Linked DNA regions of Pelodiscus sinensis. The protein of the gene in region 2 purifies or fractionates together with the protein of the main gene of each other region. This does not show direct contact. Links are inferred from orthologs where the notes say so. Each region holds a gene or a part of one and is shown on either strand. Other genes may lie near its edges.

Region 1 (7,514 bases), on a different chromosome or scaffold from region 2:
CAGTTTTTAAAATGGAACCATAAGCTGTCTGGAGCAAGCACTGTCTTTTATTGGGGGGAGAGGGATGTAAGTAACTAACCATCAGGGCCTGTGGGCACTACCACAATACAGGTAACACTTGTAAACCTGCCCACTTTCACAGATTTTAAGGACGGAAGGGCTGACCTGCATAGCACCAGCCAGAAAATGTCACCCGCTTACCCTTGTATTGAGTGCAGCTTTAAAATGTGCCTCCTTTCAATTTCATTGAATGTCCTTTGCCCTTTGCATTAGAGGCAAGTTGAATACACCTTCGCCTGCCCCCCCCTTTTGTTTAATACCTTTATCACATCCCCTCATAGCAGAGATTTTTTTGTCACTCATCTCCAAAGCCCCTCGAATTCTGTTGTGCCTCCTTTGATATGGGGGCCCAATGCTGCATATAGTATTAAAAAGACAGTGCCCTATTGATTTATAGACTGGTACAGCCGGTCCCTGAGTTACGACCGTTCGCATTTACGACCAAAGCTCCCATGGAGCGGTCATAAAGGCGGTCCCCGAGTTACGACCGTTCGCATTTACGACCAAAGCTCCCATGGAGCGGTCGTAAAGGCGGTCCCCGAGTTACGAACAGCGCAGTCACTATGTAACTCAATGGGGTCCGAGTTGCGAACAGATCGAGTTACGGCCAAGTGTTTGGTCCGTAACTTGTTCGTAACTCGGGGAGAGGCTGTATTCAGATATTTTCCATAGCATTCCCCAGCCTATTGTACCCTAACACAGTTTGCTTTAATGCACATCTCAGTGAAATGTATGAGGGGTTCAAATTATTCCCTCTAATATCTATTTGTCCCCACTGAATTCCATCTGCCACTTTGTTGTTCATTTACCTACCTTGCCTGGGCCCCTCCGAAATTCCTCCTCAGCTCTGCGCCCTTAATTCTTTGACCTAATTTGTCCCTGTACAGTTTATACTTAAGTGTTAAAATATGCACATAGTGTAGCTTTATGCATTTAGTCTCCTAGTTTCTTGGGAAAGAGTAAAGTCTCAGTTATGTGCACAATATGGACAGAGACCATCTTATTTCCCAGCTGAGTTCAGTGCCTCTTCCTCTGATCTGCCTCAAGAATGCTGTGCCACGCTTTGAAAAGGAAACACAGGGTACATGGTTCACAATGCAGGTTGGCACATGGGATAAAACAATAACCTGCGTGTTAGGAAACTTGAGTTCTACTCCTTATTCTGCCACTGCTCTGTGTGTGGCAAGCTACTCCTCTGTGCTTCAATCTCCCTATCTGTAAAATATAAATACTCGTAATTAAGCCTTCTCTGTAAAGCACTTTGAGGCCTAGGGATGAGAAGTGCTAGGTAGGAGCCAAGCTTCTACATGGCAGCAAGAATAAAAGCCCCGCGTGCAAAAGCTCTAAGTCGGTAAAGAGAGTAACTCAGCAACTAAATTAGCACAAGTACCACACATCTGACAACTCCTGTGTCTGTGTCCACGGTATGCAAAAAAAACCCCTTGTTCAATACTGGCTGACGCTTGAGTTTTCAAACAGACTTTAGAAATCTGACATCTGTCTTACCTTTCTGAATCATTTCTTTAGTCTTTGATTTTGGAAGCTGAATAAACATGTTTCCAAAGCAAACCATTGCTGTTTCTGAAAAGAGAAAGCAAGCCTATGTAGATATTTTCACAATGCGCTTCTCTGCTTCCTACTGGGTACAAAATAAATGTAAAATCTAACCAGCAGGCTAGCCTTTGTAAATCCCCCTATAGTCTACTCTACAGAATCGTTTAGGTGTGTTTCTAAGAGAAATTAAGCAAGATGCAGTCTCGTGGATTTCAATATTTTGTACTGGCATCTGTATCCACAAAAACGAGGTACAGATACCTGCATCCATAGCCGCAGATATAAAGTGGATATCCACAAATGTGCAGGGTTCTAGATGCAAAATTTGTATCCGCATCCACAAAAATGAGATATGGATATAAAGCAGAAATCACGGAACCTATGCAAGAGTGAGTTAAGTCACCACAAACAATTCTACCCTTTCAGAGCAGAAAGACACACACTTGGTTTCCCAAAACCCTTATTTAGTTTCTGAAACTATTCAATATTTACTACAGAGATCAAGTAAATTTTTAAATGCAGCTCTGTTTTAAGAAGTGACTTTAAAGATGGCATCCCTCTATTTTTGTCTGTAACTTTCTAATTCAATCTCCTCAATTTTTAAATTATAAACGTTTCTTCCAACGACCAGCTCTTCAAAACTAACTTGGGATGTCTGTGCCCAAGTTGGGTTCTTTCACCATCCCAGTGAAGAGTCTGCCATTGGGTCTTAGTTAATAAATCTGTTGCTAAAAACGCAGAGCAGAATATCATGTTCTCATATACAGAGTGGCTGCGTCTAGACTGGCATGATTTCTGTTAAAAGCATTTTCGGAAAAGAGCGTCTAGATTGGCACGGATGCTTTTCTGCCAAAGCACTTTTTGCGGAAAAGTGTCCGTGGCCAATCTAGACGCGCTTTTCTGCAAAAAAGCCCCAATCGCCATTTTTGTGATCGGGGCTTTTTTGCGGAAAACGAATCTGAGCTGTCTACACTGGCCCTTTTGCGCAAAAGTTTTGTGCAAAAGGGACTTTTCCCCGAACGGGAGCAGCACAGTATTTCTGCAAGAAGCCCTGATTTCAGACAGCAGGAAGTCAGTGCTTTTGCGGAAATTCAAGCGGCCAGTGTAGACAGCTGGCAAGTTTTTCCGGGAAAGTGGCTGATTTTCCGGGAAAACTGGCCAGTCTGGACGCAGCCCGATTCCAAGGGCCAGTGAGGGGTTGCAATGACACCCGCCCACACTGTAGGCAAGCAGTGGAGCTGTAGCTGCCTGGCCTGGCTGCAACACAAGGCGGGCCCGTGCAGACTGGCAGGGCGGCTCGGCCAATGGGGGAGCCGGACGCTGCAGGCGGCCCGGGCGGACACTCGCGTGCAGCCCGCGGGCCGCTCTGCAGCGGGAGGGGGGGGCCGCCCGGCGCATGCGCGCTGGCTCCCTCACCGGCGGGCTCCGGGTCCGTCCGCAGCGCCCTGAGCGCCTCCCGGTTCTGGTTCCGCTTCGCGTCCAGCTCCGCGATCTGCCGGAGAGAGGGGGGGTCAGAGCCCGGGGGGGGGGAACGGGCGGGGGGGGGTCGCGGGGGTCCCCCCCCCGCTCCCGGTACCTGCCGCCGCCCGGCCAGCGCCTCCTCCGCCAGCGCCTCCAGCTCGGCCAGGTAGCGCAGCACGAGCTCGGGCTCCCGCGCCATGGCCCGGCCTGTGCAACGCCGGCCCGCCCGCCCGGCAACCGCCGCCGCGCGCCCCGTTCCGCCCCGCCCCGCGCCCGGCCCCTCCCCGCGCCCCCCCCGCCTCCGCCCCGAGCCCCCCCCGCTCTGGTGTTGGGCCCCCCCGCCTCCTCCCCGCGCCCCCCCCCCGCTCTGGTGTTGGGTCCCCCCCGCCTCCTCCCCGCGCCCCCCCCGCCTCCTCCCCGAGCCCCCCCCCTCTGGTGTTGGGTCCCCCCCGCCTCCTCCCCGAGCCCCCCCCCCGCCTCCTCCCCGAGCCCCCCCCCCCGCTCTGGTGTTGGGTCCCCCCCGCCTCCTCCCCGAGCCCCCCCCGCTCCGGTGTTGGGCCCCCCCGCCTCCTCTCCGAGCCCCCCCCCGCTCTGGTGTTGGGTCCCCCCCGCCTCCTCCCCGAGCCCCCCCCCCGCCTCCTCCCCGAGCCCCCCCCCCGCTCTGGTGTTGGGTCCCCCCCGCCTCCTCCCCGAGCCCCCCCCGCTCCGGTGTTGGGCCCCCCCGCCTCCTCTCCGAGCCCCCCCCCGCTCTGGTGTTGGGCCCCCCTCGCCTCCTCCCCGAGCCCTCCCCCGCTCTGGTGTTGGGCCCCCCCGCCTCCTCCCCGAGCCCCCCCGCCTCCTCCCTGAGCCCCCCCCCCGCTCTGGTGTTGGGCCCCCCCGCCTCCTCCCCGAGCCCCCCCCCGCTCTGGTGTTGGGTCCCCCCCGCCTCCTCCCCGAGCCCCCCCCCGCTCTGGTGTTGGGTCCCCCCCGCCTCCTCCCCGAGCCCCCCCCCCGCTCTGGTGTTGGGTCCCCCCCGCCTCCTCCCCGAGTCCCCCCCCCCCCCGCTCTGGTGTTGGGTCCCCCCCCGCCTCCTCCTCGAGTCCCCCCCCTGCTCTGGTGTTGGGTCCCCCCCGCCTCCTCCCCGAGTCCCCCCCCTCTGGTGTTGGGTCCCCCCCGCCTCCTCCCCGAGTCCCCCCCTGCTCTGGTGTTGGGTCCCCCCCGCCTCCTCCCCGAGGCCCCCCCTCTGGTGTTGGGCCCCCCCGCCTCCTCCCCGAGCCCCCCCCGCTCTGGTGTTGGGTCCCCCCCGCCTCCTCCCCGAGCCCCCCCCTCTCGTGTTGGGTCCCCCCCGCCTCCTCCCTGAGTCCCCCCCCCCGCTCTGGTGTTGGGTCCCCCCCCGCTCTGGTGTTGGGTCCCCCCCGCCTCCTCCCCGAGCCCCCCCCTCTCGAGTTGGGTCCCCCCCCGCCTCCTCCCCGAGCCCCCCCCTCTCGTGTTGGGTCCCCCCCGCCTCCTTCCTGAGTCCCCCCCCCGCTCTGGTGTTGGGTCCCCCCCCGCGCTGGTGTTGGGCCCCCCTGCCTCCTCCCCGAGTCCCCCCCCCCCGCTCTGGTGTTGGGTCCCTCCCCGAGTCGTTCCCCCCCCCCCCCCGCTCTGGTGTTGGGTCCCCCCCGCCTCCTCCCCGAGGCCCCCCCCCCGCTCTGGTGTTGGGTCCCTCCCCGAGTCGTTCCCCCCCCCCCCCCCGCTCTGGTGTTGGGTCCCCCCCGCCTCCTCCCCGAGGCCCCCCCCCCGCTCTGGTGTTGGGCCCCCCCGCCTCCTCCCCGAGTCGTCCCGTTCCCCCCCCCGCTCTGGTGTTGGGTCCTCCCCGAGCCCCCCCCCGCTCTGGTGTTGGGTCCCCCCCGCCTCCTCCCTGACTCCTCTCCCCCCCCCGCTCTGTTGTTGAGTCCCCCCCGACTCCTCCCTGAGTCTCCCCCCCGCTCTGTTGTTGGGTGTCCCCCGACTCCTCCCTGAGTCCCCCCCCCGCTCTGTTGTTGGGTGTCCCCCTCCGGACTCCACCTCTAGGGCTAGCCCCCACATTCCTCTCTGGGAGGCCCCATCTGCTGCTGGCCCCTCCCCCCACGCTCCTCCCAGGGGGTTCCCTCCTCCGTGGCTGGGGCTCACCTGGTCAACCCCCCCTCCCCTTGGTCCTCTGTTGCAGAGGACTTCTCCTCCTCCATGCCCCCCCCATTGCGGGGCTCTGTTGCCAAGCCCTCCCCTCCCCATGGGTCTCTCTTGTGGGAAGTGCCCTTGGGGTCTGTCATTCCCTGTCACTCATCGCAAAGCCTGTTGCCAGCCACCTCCTGTCCCAGAAGGACCATTTCACCCTTCTCCACAGTGCATCGGCCTCCGGGCTGGGATGTAGCAATTGTTTAAAAGCCACCAGTAACACTGCATACCAGTTTAGGGCAAGGACTGGCAAAAAATTCTGTTACCTGGACCTTGCAGGGGAGTCCAGGTGGGTAGAACACAGTTACCAACATTGTAATTGACCTGGGGCATTGGGGTTAACAACACAAAACTTAAACGTGGTTGGCCCTGCTGTGAGGGCAGGGGATTGGATTTGATACCCTTTCAGTTCTGGTATTCTGTGATTCTCTGCCATGGGATTGCTAATGATCACCAAGTCAGCATGGGTGACACATGTCCTGCTTCCTAAGTCCAATTCTTGAGACCAGTGACGCACCTGATCTAAACAGACACTTAGGTCTGTCGATTATGGATACTCGTAGAGGTTGCTCAGTTGCATAATTCTTCCTTCGAATTCCGGCTACAGCAGTATCCCAGATAACTTCAGCTTTCAGCTGAGATGTGTGAACTGGCTTTACATTTTGTTCTTCTCACAATAATTGAATGTTTGTGGAGAATGGAGACGTTCCGTGTCCATTTGTAGGGGATGTTTGTGCGTACGTGTGCAAGAAAGAAGGGGGATCTTAGCTGAAGATGAAGTTGTCTTTATATGGCAAACATCATTTGAAATTAACAAACATATTTTAGAGAATTCCCTGCCAGAGAGAAGAGGGCTTAGGCAAATAGCCCCTCCGTTTGAAGTAACTGTGAGGCAGGGCAAAGGTGCTGTTTGTAGTATAAGAGCAAAGCGTGATGTCCAGTCCTTGGTGAAGAATAAGGACAGGACTTGGCAGCATCCCCTTCCATGCCTCTTCTGTTTGATCACTGCCTGGACACCCCTTTGTTGCCAAAACGCTCTGCTGCAGAAATGACAGCTGAATATTTAGCAACTCAGGATGGGGAGATGATTCTGTGGAAGTGAGTCAGCACCATTTTTAATGAAGCAAGCAACTCTGCTGCATGAAATAGTAAATTACATGCATGTAATTAAATGGAGGCTCTCAGAGAAGCATCTGTTTAATGCACAAAAGCAATACAGGCAAAGGATCAGAGCTTCTCCAAGGCTGGTCCCTGCCAAGTCACTGAACCGTTGTCATGACAGTATTGAAGGCTTTTCGTGGCATTAAGAACCACTTCAGCTGCAGAAGTCCTTGGAATAATGCAGCAGCGAGTAACTTTGGCATCCTGTTCTGGATTGCACGAGGGACAAGATTTGGCCAAGGAAATGCACAAGGAAACCTCACAGAATTTGTATCAATGATTGATTTGCATAAAGGTGGGGGGGTTGCTGTGCTTAGAAATCACTTAGAATATTAAGACCCACTCTTGTAGTGCCAAGTGTCTGCAAGGATGGGAAATCAAGTGCGATGAAAAGGCACAATGCAGGCAAACAATGGTACCCATGTGTCTGCAAGCCCTTAGAACATCAAGGAGTGGGTAGGGGAATTAAAGGGGATGAAGCAGTTGGAGAGAAGGTAAATCAGCAACCTTCCTAAAGCAGATGAGAAGGAAATCCCTATTTCAGGAAATCAGAGAATGGCAGGAACAGAGCAAGACGGCTCTGAGGAAGAGATTACAGAACAGCTCAAGTAACTTGAATGCAGGCAGCTCCTGGAACCAGATGGCATTGACACGAGATCGGAAGGAACGAAAATGTGAGGCTGTGGTATGGGCAGGGATCTGGGACTGGTCCCAAACCAGCTACTGAACCTGAAGAATGGAAATTCACCACTGCGGTTATCTTCCACAGAGGATCCAGGGTGACAATGAGAATTATGAACATGCCTCATGGCCGCACCGGGAAAACTGATTGGCTGTGTCTAGACTGGCAAGTTTTTCCACAAAACCAGCTGCTTTTGCGGAAAAACTTGCCAGCTGTCTACACTGGCCGCTTGAATTTCTGCAAGAACACTGACGATCTCATGTAAGAAATCAGTGCTTCTTGCGGAAATACTATGCTGCTCCCATTCAGGCAAAAGTCCTTTTACGCAAAAGCTTTTGCGCAAAAGGGCCAGTGTAGACAGCTCAGATTTGTTTTGCGCAAAAAAGCCCCGATCGCGAAAATGGCGATCGGGGCTTTTTTG
Region 2 (7,513 bases):
ATCTTGCCTGCTCAGCACTGTTTGGGGAGGGAAAGGAGGGGCTGGAGCAAAGGCATTTCTTGCAACCACCAACCTGTATGCAGAAGTCAGACAAGCCTTCCCTCCCTCCCTCCCCTCCAGTCTGTGCACGGAGTTGCCAAGTTTCTTTGTTCAGTGTGTCCAGTGCCAGAGTGTGTGTAATAACTAGAGAATGCAACAGGTGCTCATGCTGCTCCCGCCTCCAGTTACTGAGTATGTGCATGGGGAGCTGAGATGGTTTGTAAACTACTTTGGTCCCCAGTGATATGCCACTGAGCAGGGCCAGGAGCCTGCACCTCTTCACTCCCTCCTCTGGTGATGTTACCACTCCCTTCTGCCTCACCACCAGAGCCACTCTCCCCCTCCCCCTCCCCCCAGGTTGTTCTTGGTCTGCTTCCTCTCCTCCTCTGATCCCAATGCCTCACTGCCAGTTCAACCATAACAAGAAAAAAAGCCCCAGACCTCTTTACCCATGGTTCCAGCCAATCTCTGCCCTCCCAGCGCCATCACAGCACACAAGTCCATTACTTCCCCAGGGAAAGTAATCCCCCTGGACCCCATGCCTCTCTTTCCCCAAGCCCAACTTCATCAGTGGGCATTTATGGTATTGTCAGGCTAACTTAAATAGCCCCTTAGAGCAGAGTGTTTGTCATGTTTATCTGGGAAGCCACACACACACACCTATGGTTGGTGTGCTGTAAATAGCAACTGCCTGGGGAAGACAGACCCTACTCTTGATGACTGTGACTAGGGAAATGGCTTTTCCCCCACCAGAAAGGGTTAGGGTGACTCATGGCTGCTCTGTTGAATTTCAAGGTTTGCTGACTTCAGAACATCAAGTCAATTGTTAGACACCCCCCTCCAGGAGTGTAAAATCTTGCACACTTAGCCAATGCCTACAGTACCACTTTTAGCACTAAAACTTTAGTTGTTCAGGGGTGTGGAAAAAAACAAAACAAAACAAAAAAACACCTTTCTGAGCAACAAAAGTCTTAGTGCTGAGAAGTGCCGGGATAGAGAATACTTCCCTGGGAACCAGGCTCTCAGAGAGCTTAACAGCCCTCATTTGAGGTAGTATTTTTTATCCCCAGGAGAGGTCTCCCCCAGTGATGAAGTGTGGCTGTCCTGCCCAGGCATACTGACACAGGGTGTGTAACGTCAATGATTATTAAAAATGTAAATGTTGGCCCTGGCAGTGGTGTATCAAGTGAAACTGAATCTGTCATGGCCAGTAGCAGAGCTGACCAACCTATGGAGAGAGTAATGAGTTCTCTTAGAAAGCCCTAACAGTTACCAAATTGCTTCTACTGAGGTTCCTTAGAAGACCAAGCCAGGAAAGGAGCCTTAATGATTTCAGCCCACTTTTGCGGGAACAGTCTGAACAAGAGTTTCTGGTCCAGCTAGAGCAGCTGTGGCCAACCTGCGGATCGCGAGCCACACGCGGCTCTTCCCCCCCCTTAAAGTGTGGCTTGTGAACCCTCCTCCATGGCTCGTGAAGCTGCCCCTGGAAACAGACCCTGGTTCCCTGAGCTCACCAGGAGCCGTCCGGCGCAGCGAAGCAAAGATGGCGCTGATATGGCCAAGAAGCCAACCTGAGGTTTTGTTTTTTTTTAAAAAGCAGTGTCTTTTTTTGTGACAACTTCCCCCCACCCCCTTTGCACTATATGCACAACTATTTTGGCTCTTTTCCTGTAATGGGTTGGCCACCCCTGGGCTAGAGGGATATAAGCAGTTTCTATTTTGTTTTTGTAACTAAAGAGAAAAGCCTCTCTAACTGTGCACATACTAGATTAGACTCAATAGACATGTTGGCCATGTACTGGAAAATCTCCCCCTCATATTGCTTTGTTGCAAGGGTTAGGCAAACCCCGTTTTAATGAGGCTGCTGGTCACAGGTTTCCCCAGGGAGGAAACACATGCCTGTGTTGAGGTCAGGGAGAGATGTGCAGGTAGGTCAGTGACCATAACACCGACCCTGGAGCACTCTATGAGGCAAGGCAGCCACACCTCTCAAGCTTTCCATTGGAAAATCTAACCAGAATCAAAAGGAAAAGATCAACCCTGTATGCACAAACATTTTACAAGCATATAATCGGACAACCCCCATCCAGCCAGGCCTCTATCTAGCCCCAATCGGCTCAGTGAAGAGAAAAATCCTGCCACTTACTCTCTCAACTTCTTTTTGTCATCTGTCATTTTCTCTCCAGCAAAGCTTAAGTGATATGTTCTCCATACATAGGTCCTGGAAAAGCAAAATTCCATGACTTAACGGAATGACTGAGCAGCATGGGCCTTCAGGCTCTTCCTGCCCCACATGTGCTTTACAAGGGTCTCTACCCTGCAGTGGTATCTCTTGATTTGATCGATCGATCGATCGCTCGCGCGCTCTCTCTCTCTCTCTCTCTCTCTCTCTCTCTCTCTCTCTCTCTCTCTCTCTCACACACACACACACACACACACACACACACACACACACACAAAGGGCACGATTGCGTGAGTGGCTACTTTACATGGTAGCGACAAGATGCATCAGATTGCCCATAGCACCCCCTTGTCTTTTCTGGGAGCCCCCCCACTCACCAGCTAATGTGCTGTCTGCCTCCTTCCCGCTCTTGCTTCAGCTGCACGTATCGCTGGATGGCCTTCTTCAGGTCCAGGACGCTGGCATTCTGTACCACTACCACAGCTAAAATGGAAGACACTGTCAACTAGCAGTAACCCAAGAGATGCATTCCGATAGGCAGAGCCCCACCCTGACCTGTTGGAAGTGGCACTTTAAGTGGAGCTGCATTGGGCAGAAGGGACAGCCAGCCCTCAGCACCACTGGGACCACACCATGCCTCCCCCAGCCAGCCATCAGCACCACCCTGGACTGCGGGGATAGGGGCAGTGATTAAAGGCCCGGGACTCCAGCTGCCACTGCAATAGCAATACTGCGGCAACAGTGGCACCAGAGCCCCAGGCGCTGTTAAATCACTGGGCCCCGGGAAACCTGTCCTCTTTGCTGCCCCACCTCCAGTCTGCAGCCTTGGCCTGGGCCAACAAGGGGAAGAGGTCTCCTTCCCAGAGCTTGCTCTGCCTCTGAGCTGAACTAATCCTGTTCCCCAATCAGCTGTTCATGGCTGGGGAAGGAGGGGTAGCAGCAGCTCTCTTCCTCTAGGAGCTCCATGAATCAGGATTCCTGGCACTCTGGGGCTATGTCTAGACTTTTCGCAATCAGGGCTTTTTTGTGCAAAACAAATCTGAGCTGTCTACACTGGCCCTTTTGCACAAAAGCTTTGCATAAAAGGACTTTTGCCAGAACGGGAGCAGCATAGTATTTCCGCAAGAAGCACTGATTTCTTACATGAGATCGTCAGTGTTCTTGCAGAAACTCAAGCGGCCAGTGTAGACAGCTGGGAAGTTTTTCCACAAAAGCGGCTGCTTTTGTGGAAAAACTTGCCAGTCTAGACACAGCTTGGGAGTCTTGAAGAGCCATGTGCTAGACCTGAAAGAGCCACATGCCGCTTGTGGGTAATGTGCTTAGGCTTAGTGCTGCACTAGATCAAGCGGCAAGAGAAAATATGGGAACTGAACCTCGGTCTCAATATCCTCCCCAGATCCTACCCAGCTTAAGCAGGGGCTGCCCATACCTGCCCTGTGCCAAGATCTTAACTGGCAGCAACTACCTACCTAGTTGACTTTCCCATTTATCCCCTGCTCACTCCAGCTTCTGACAGACGAATGCTTCAGAGCACGGACATGGCTGTGATTTGCAGGGGACACAATTCAACACCGTCCCTGCATGTGCCATTTAACATGACAACCGTGTACTTAGAGCATATATGTGATCTTAGAAGGTAAAGCTACACTGTAATGAAGACAGGCCGTTCTTGCGCAAGAACCCGCAGAGCAGCCTCACTGCCCGCCTGCTCTTGTGCGAGACTTACAGTACAGCGGCAGAAGATGGGGCTTCTTGTGCAAGAGCTACGCTCTTTTCTAACAAGCGTAAGCGCTCTCGCGCAAGAGGGTAGTGTGGACGCGCGGCAGGAGTTTCTTGTGCACGAAAGCCGGATGGCTAAAATGGCTCTCTTGCGCAAGAGAGCATCCACACTGCCAGGGATGCTCTTTCACAAAAGCACGTGGCAGTGTGGCCGTGTTCTTGTGCAAGAACCCGCCGGTGTAGAGACAGCCTAGGAGCGGATCTCAGAATCCCTGCTCCAGTTTGAGCCCACATGTCTATGCCGCAAGTTTTAGCCCCATAGCCCGAGTCCCGCCAGCCAGAGGGGATGGACTCAATGCTGCGGGCTTTCCAGAGCAGAGCGGCCCCCCAGCGGCTCCCAACACCACCCCGCACAGACGGCGCAGGCCAGTGCGGGGGACTCACGCATCACTTCTTCATCCGCCTTGCACACGCGCACAGTCATGGCCTGGCCGTACTCCAGCGCGATCTGCGAATTGATTTCCTCCACCGTGACCTGCCGGGAAGCGAAGGGCCGATGAAGCGCCCGGCGCCGGCAGGGCTCCTGCAGCCATGGGGGTCTGACCCCCTCCAAGGCTGTATCGCCCCGCCCCCACCCGCAGTCACGTGGGGCGCGAGCTCGGGACACGCCCCCTCCCCCCGTGCGACTCGTTAACGGTCAGTGCCGCGGGGCAGTCACGAGGCCGCGGGCGGGGCCGGGCGCGCGCCGCGCGGGCGGAGGGGAGGCGCTACCTGCACGGGCAGGTCGCAGAGCAGCGGGTCCTGCACGAGCCGGGCCAGCCCCTCCTGGAAGAGGTCGAGCACCTCGGCGTGCGCCAGCTCCTCCTCCTCGGGGCCCGACTCCGCCATCGCCGCCGGCAGGGCGGGGCTTCCTGTGACCCGCTCGGGGGAAGAGGCGGGGCCGCGCCGTGACCCGGAAGCAGAAATGCTGCTGTTCTGCCCGGCCTGCGGGAACGTGCTGGTGGCCGAGGAAGGCGCGAGGTGCCACCGCTTCGCCTGCACCACGTGTCCCTACGTGCGCAACGTCACGCGCAAGGTAACCCCCGCCCCCCCCTGCCACCTCGGTGGGCGGGGACTGACAGCCCCAACGGCCGACCTGCTGGGGCAGAGCAACCAATCAGAGCCTGGGCGGGGGTTGCCCTGAGGAGGCTGCTGGGGGCGGAGCTAATCGCTAGGAGGGTGGGGCTGATGTGGGCGGGGCTCCTGTCGTGCCTGAGCCCCGCCTACCAGGTGGGGGCTGGGCAGGCACTTCACAGCCTGTCCCCACAGGTGAGCAGCCGCAAGTACCCCAAGCTGAAGGAGGTGGACGATGTGCTGGGCGGCGCGGCGGCCTGGGAGAACGTGGACTCCACGGCGGGTGAGCGCCGGCCTCTGCGCTGCTCTCCGACTGGCCTGGGCCAGCAGCCGGCCCCGGGCCCCCTTCCAGGAGATCTGGCTCCAGCGACAGGCCACCTAGCCCATATCCTTAGAGCCCTGCCGCATCCATAGCCCCCACAACGAGCCGCAGACACCTGCACGTACCACCCCTCTGCGGATGCAGATACCCGCGGATTTGCAGGGTTCTAGATTAAAAAATTTGCATCCACATCCGCAGAAATGAGCTGCTGGTCTCCGCTTCCCCAGATACTTGCGGACATAAAGCAGGTATCCGCAGATTTGCAGGGCTCTACGTATCCTGTCCAATTACATAGCCAGCACCAGGTGCTTTGTAGGGAACAAATAGAACGTGTGGTTATCACGTGATGGATTTTGTCACCCATTCTCAGTTTCTGGCAGTCAAGCTAGAGCCATTCAGAGCATGGGGTTGTGTACCTGCTAGTTTTGCCTAATAGCCAATGATGGACTTCTCCTCCATGAACCTCTTTTGAAACCTTTTATGGTTTTGGCCTTCACAATATCCCCTGGCAGTGAGTCCCACAGGTTGTCTGTGTTTTGTGAAGAGACACTTCCTTCTGTTTGTTTTAAATCTGCTACCTGTTAACACAAGAACCTGGAGTCACCAAATAACATGTGAAGGAGGAAATATTTTCTTATTTACTTTCTGTATATCAGTCATCATTCTATAGACTTCTGTCACATCCTCTCTGTTATTTCTTTTCCAAGCTGAAATACCCCAGGCTATTTAATCTCTCTATAGAAGCTGAGTCATACCACGGATCATTTTTGCCGCCCTTTCCAATTTTGATCTATTTTTTTTGAGAGGGGGTGACCAGAATTGCACATATTATTCAAGGTGTGGTTGCACCATGGATTTATGTAGTGGTATTATATGTTTTGTCTTATTGCCTATCCCTTTCCTACTGGTTCCTAATATTGTCACCTCTTTTGATTGCTGCTGCACACTGAGCAGATATTTTTCAGAGAACTATCCACAATGACTCCATGGATAGTTAGTGTTGCCCTTGTATTTTAGAACCAGCTAGTCCCCAACATGCTAAATTCAGTGCCATTAGGGGGTGTTCTCAAGCACAGTGGCCTGAGGTTCTCATCTACCCCTGAAGGCCCTTTTAAGTTCTCTCATCATGTAAAAAGTGAGCCAGTGGACATTTGGAAATCTCTCTTGAATGGCTTGTGGAAGGCTGCATTCTAGTCCATCAGGTAGAGTGGCCCTCACAGTGAGCTCCCCTGGCAGAATGAAGAATTTGCTTTATTACCCTGGGAGCTGTACTCACTAGAGTTCTGGTTTCTTTTACAGAGCCATGTCCCAAGTGTGAGCATCCTCGCGCCTACTTCATGCAGATTCAGACCAGATCAGCTGATGAACCCATGACCACCTTCTACAAGTGTTGTAATGCCCAGTGTGGGCACAGGTGGAGGGACTGACTGGTTTCAGATTTAATTTCTTCAGTGTTGTTTTTGCTGTTTGTTTGAAAATTCCCCAGCTGAGTTGTATGATATATGGTAATGTGGAAATAAATATCCCTGGTTTCAGTTGTTGCATGAGTTTAAATTAACATTGACTGCTGCTAGTGCAGGCATTCACCATAATCTGATGGTCCAGGGTGAAGGTTATGCATATACTGCACATTTTCCTAATGGCACACACAGCAGAACAAAGAGCTGCCTCTGTTTAGAGCTGTGGTGTCTAACCAGTTCTGAATCAGTAGCCAGTATAGTGGTTGCTGCTATAGCAAACTAGCCCCTCAGCCAGCCAAATAGCCACATGTGGCTAGCGTATTGGATGCTATGGTGTAGGGTGGTGGGTCACCAGCGCCTCCTACAATGCAGAGGCTAGGTCACTTGCATCACCACGAAGTGTCCACCCAGCTCTTGTCTCTGTTGTACTCAAGAGTTGGGGGCACAGGATCCAGTAGAAGGTTGTAGGGAAAACAAGTACGTGTAGGCTTCCCGGCTCCCAAATAAAGAGGTAGAGGCCTGTATGCCTGCAGCTGGAGCAGCAGAATATTAGCCCCTTCTCCCCTTGATTTTCCATGTGCAGGTTTATGCACTAGTTGTGTGAGAGATTTCTGGTAGTAAAGGGCTCTTTAATCTTTGATATTGTGTTAAGTAGATTCTGATCAATGTTACCAATGC

Evidence for each region. Proteins that work in one complex are often made in the same cells at the same time.
Region 1: the proteins of POLR3K (region 2) and PDRG1 purify together in Homo sapiens (affinity purification with mass spectrometry; 3 studies listed by BioGRID and IntAct, with this or other methods). This does not show direct contact. The link is inferred for Pelodiscus sinensis from reciprocal best matches to the Homo sapiens genes POLR3K and PDRG1.

What each region holds. Positions count from the first base shown.
Region 1 is NC_134728.1:1,577,832-1,585,345, reverse strand, and holds the start of PDRG1 (p53 and DNA damage-regulated protein 1), read right to left. Parts: upstream 3,352-7,514; 5' UTR 3,275-3,351; coding exon 3,191-3,274; intron 3,107-3,190; coding exon 3,031-3,106; intron 1,642-3,030; coding exon 1,567-1,641; intron 1-1,566. UniProt on the Homo sapiens protein: May play a role in chaperone-mediated protein folding.
Region 2 is NC_134726.1:4,937,479-4,944,991, forward strand, and holds POLR3K (DNA-directed RNA polymerase III subunit RPC10), read left to right. Parts: upstream 1-4,881; 5' UTR 4,882-4,904; coding exon 4,905-5,015; intron 5,016-5,248; coding exon 5,249-5,336; intron 5,337-6,674; coding exon 6,675-6,802; 3' UTR 6,803-6,910; downstream 6,911-7,513. Other genes in the region: SNRNP25 (U11/U12 small nuclear ribonucleoprotein 25 kDa protein), read right to left, coding at 2,186-2,260, 2,599-2,704, 4,385-4,475, 4,712-4,828. UniProt on the Homo sapiens protein: Core component of RNA polymerase III (Pol III) which synthesizes small non-coding RNAs using the four ribonucleoside triphosphates as substrates. Can mediate Pol I proofreading of the nascent RNA transcript.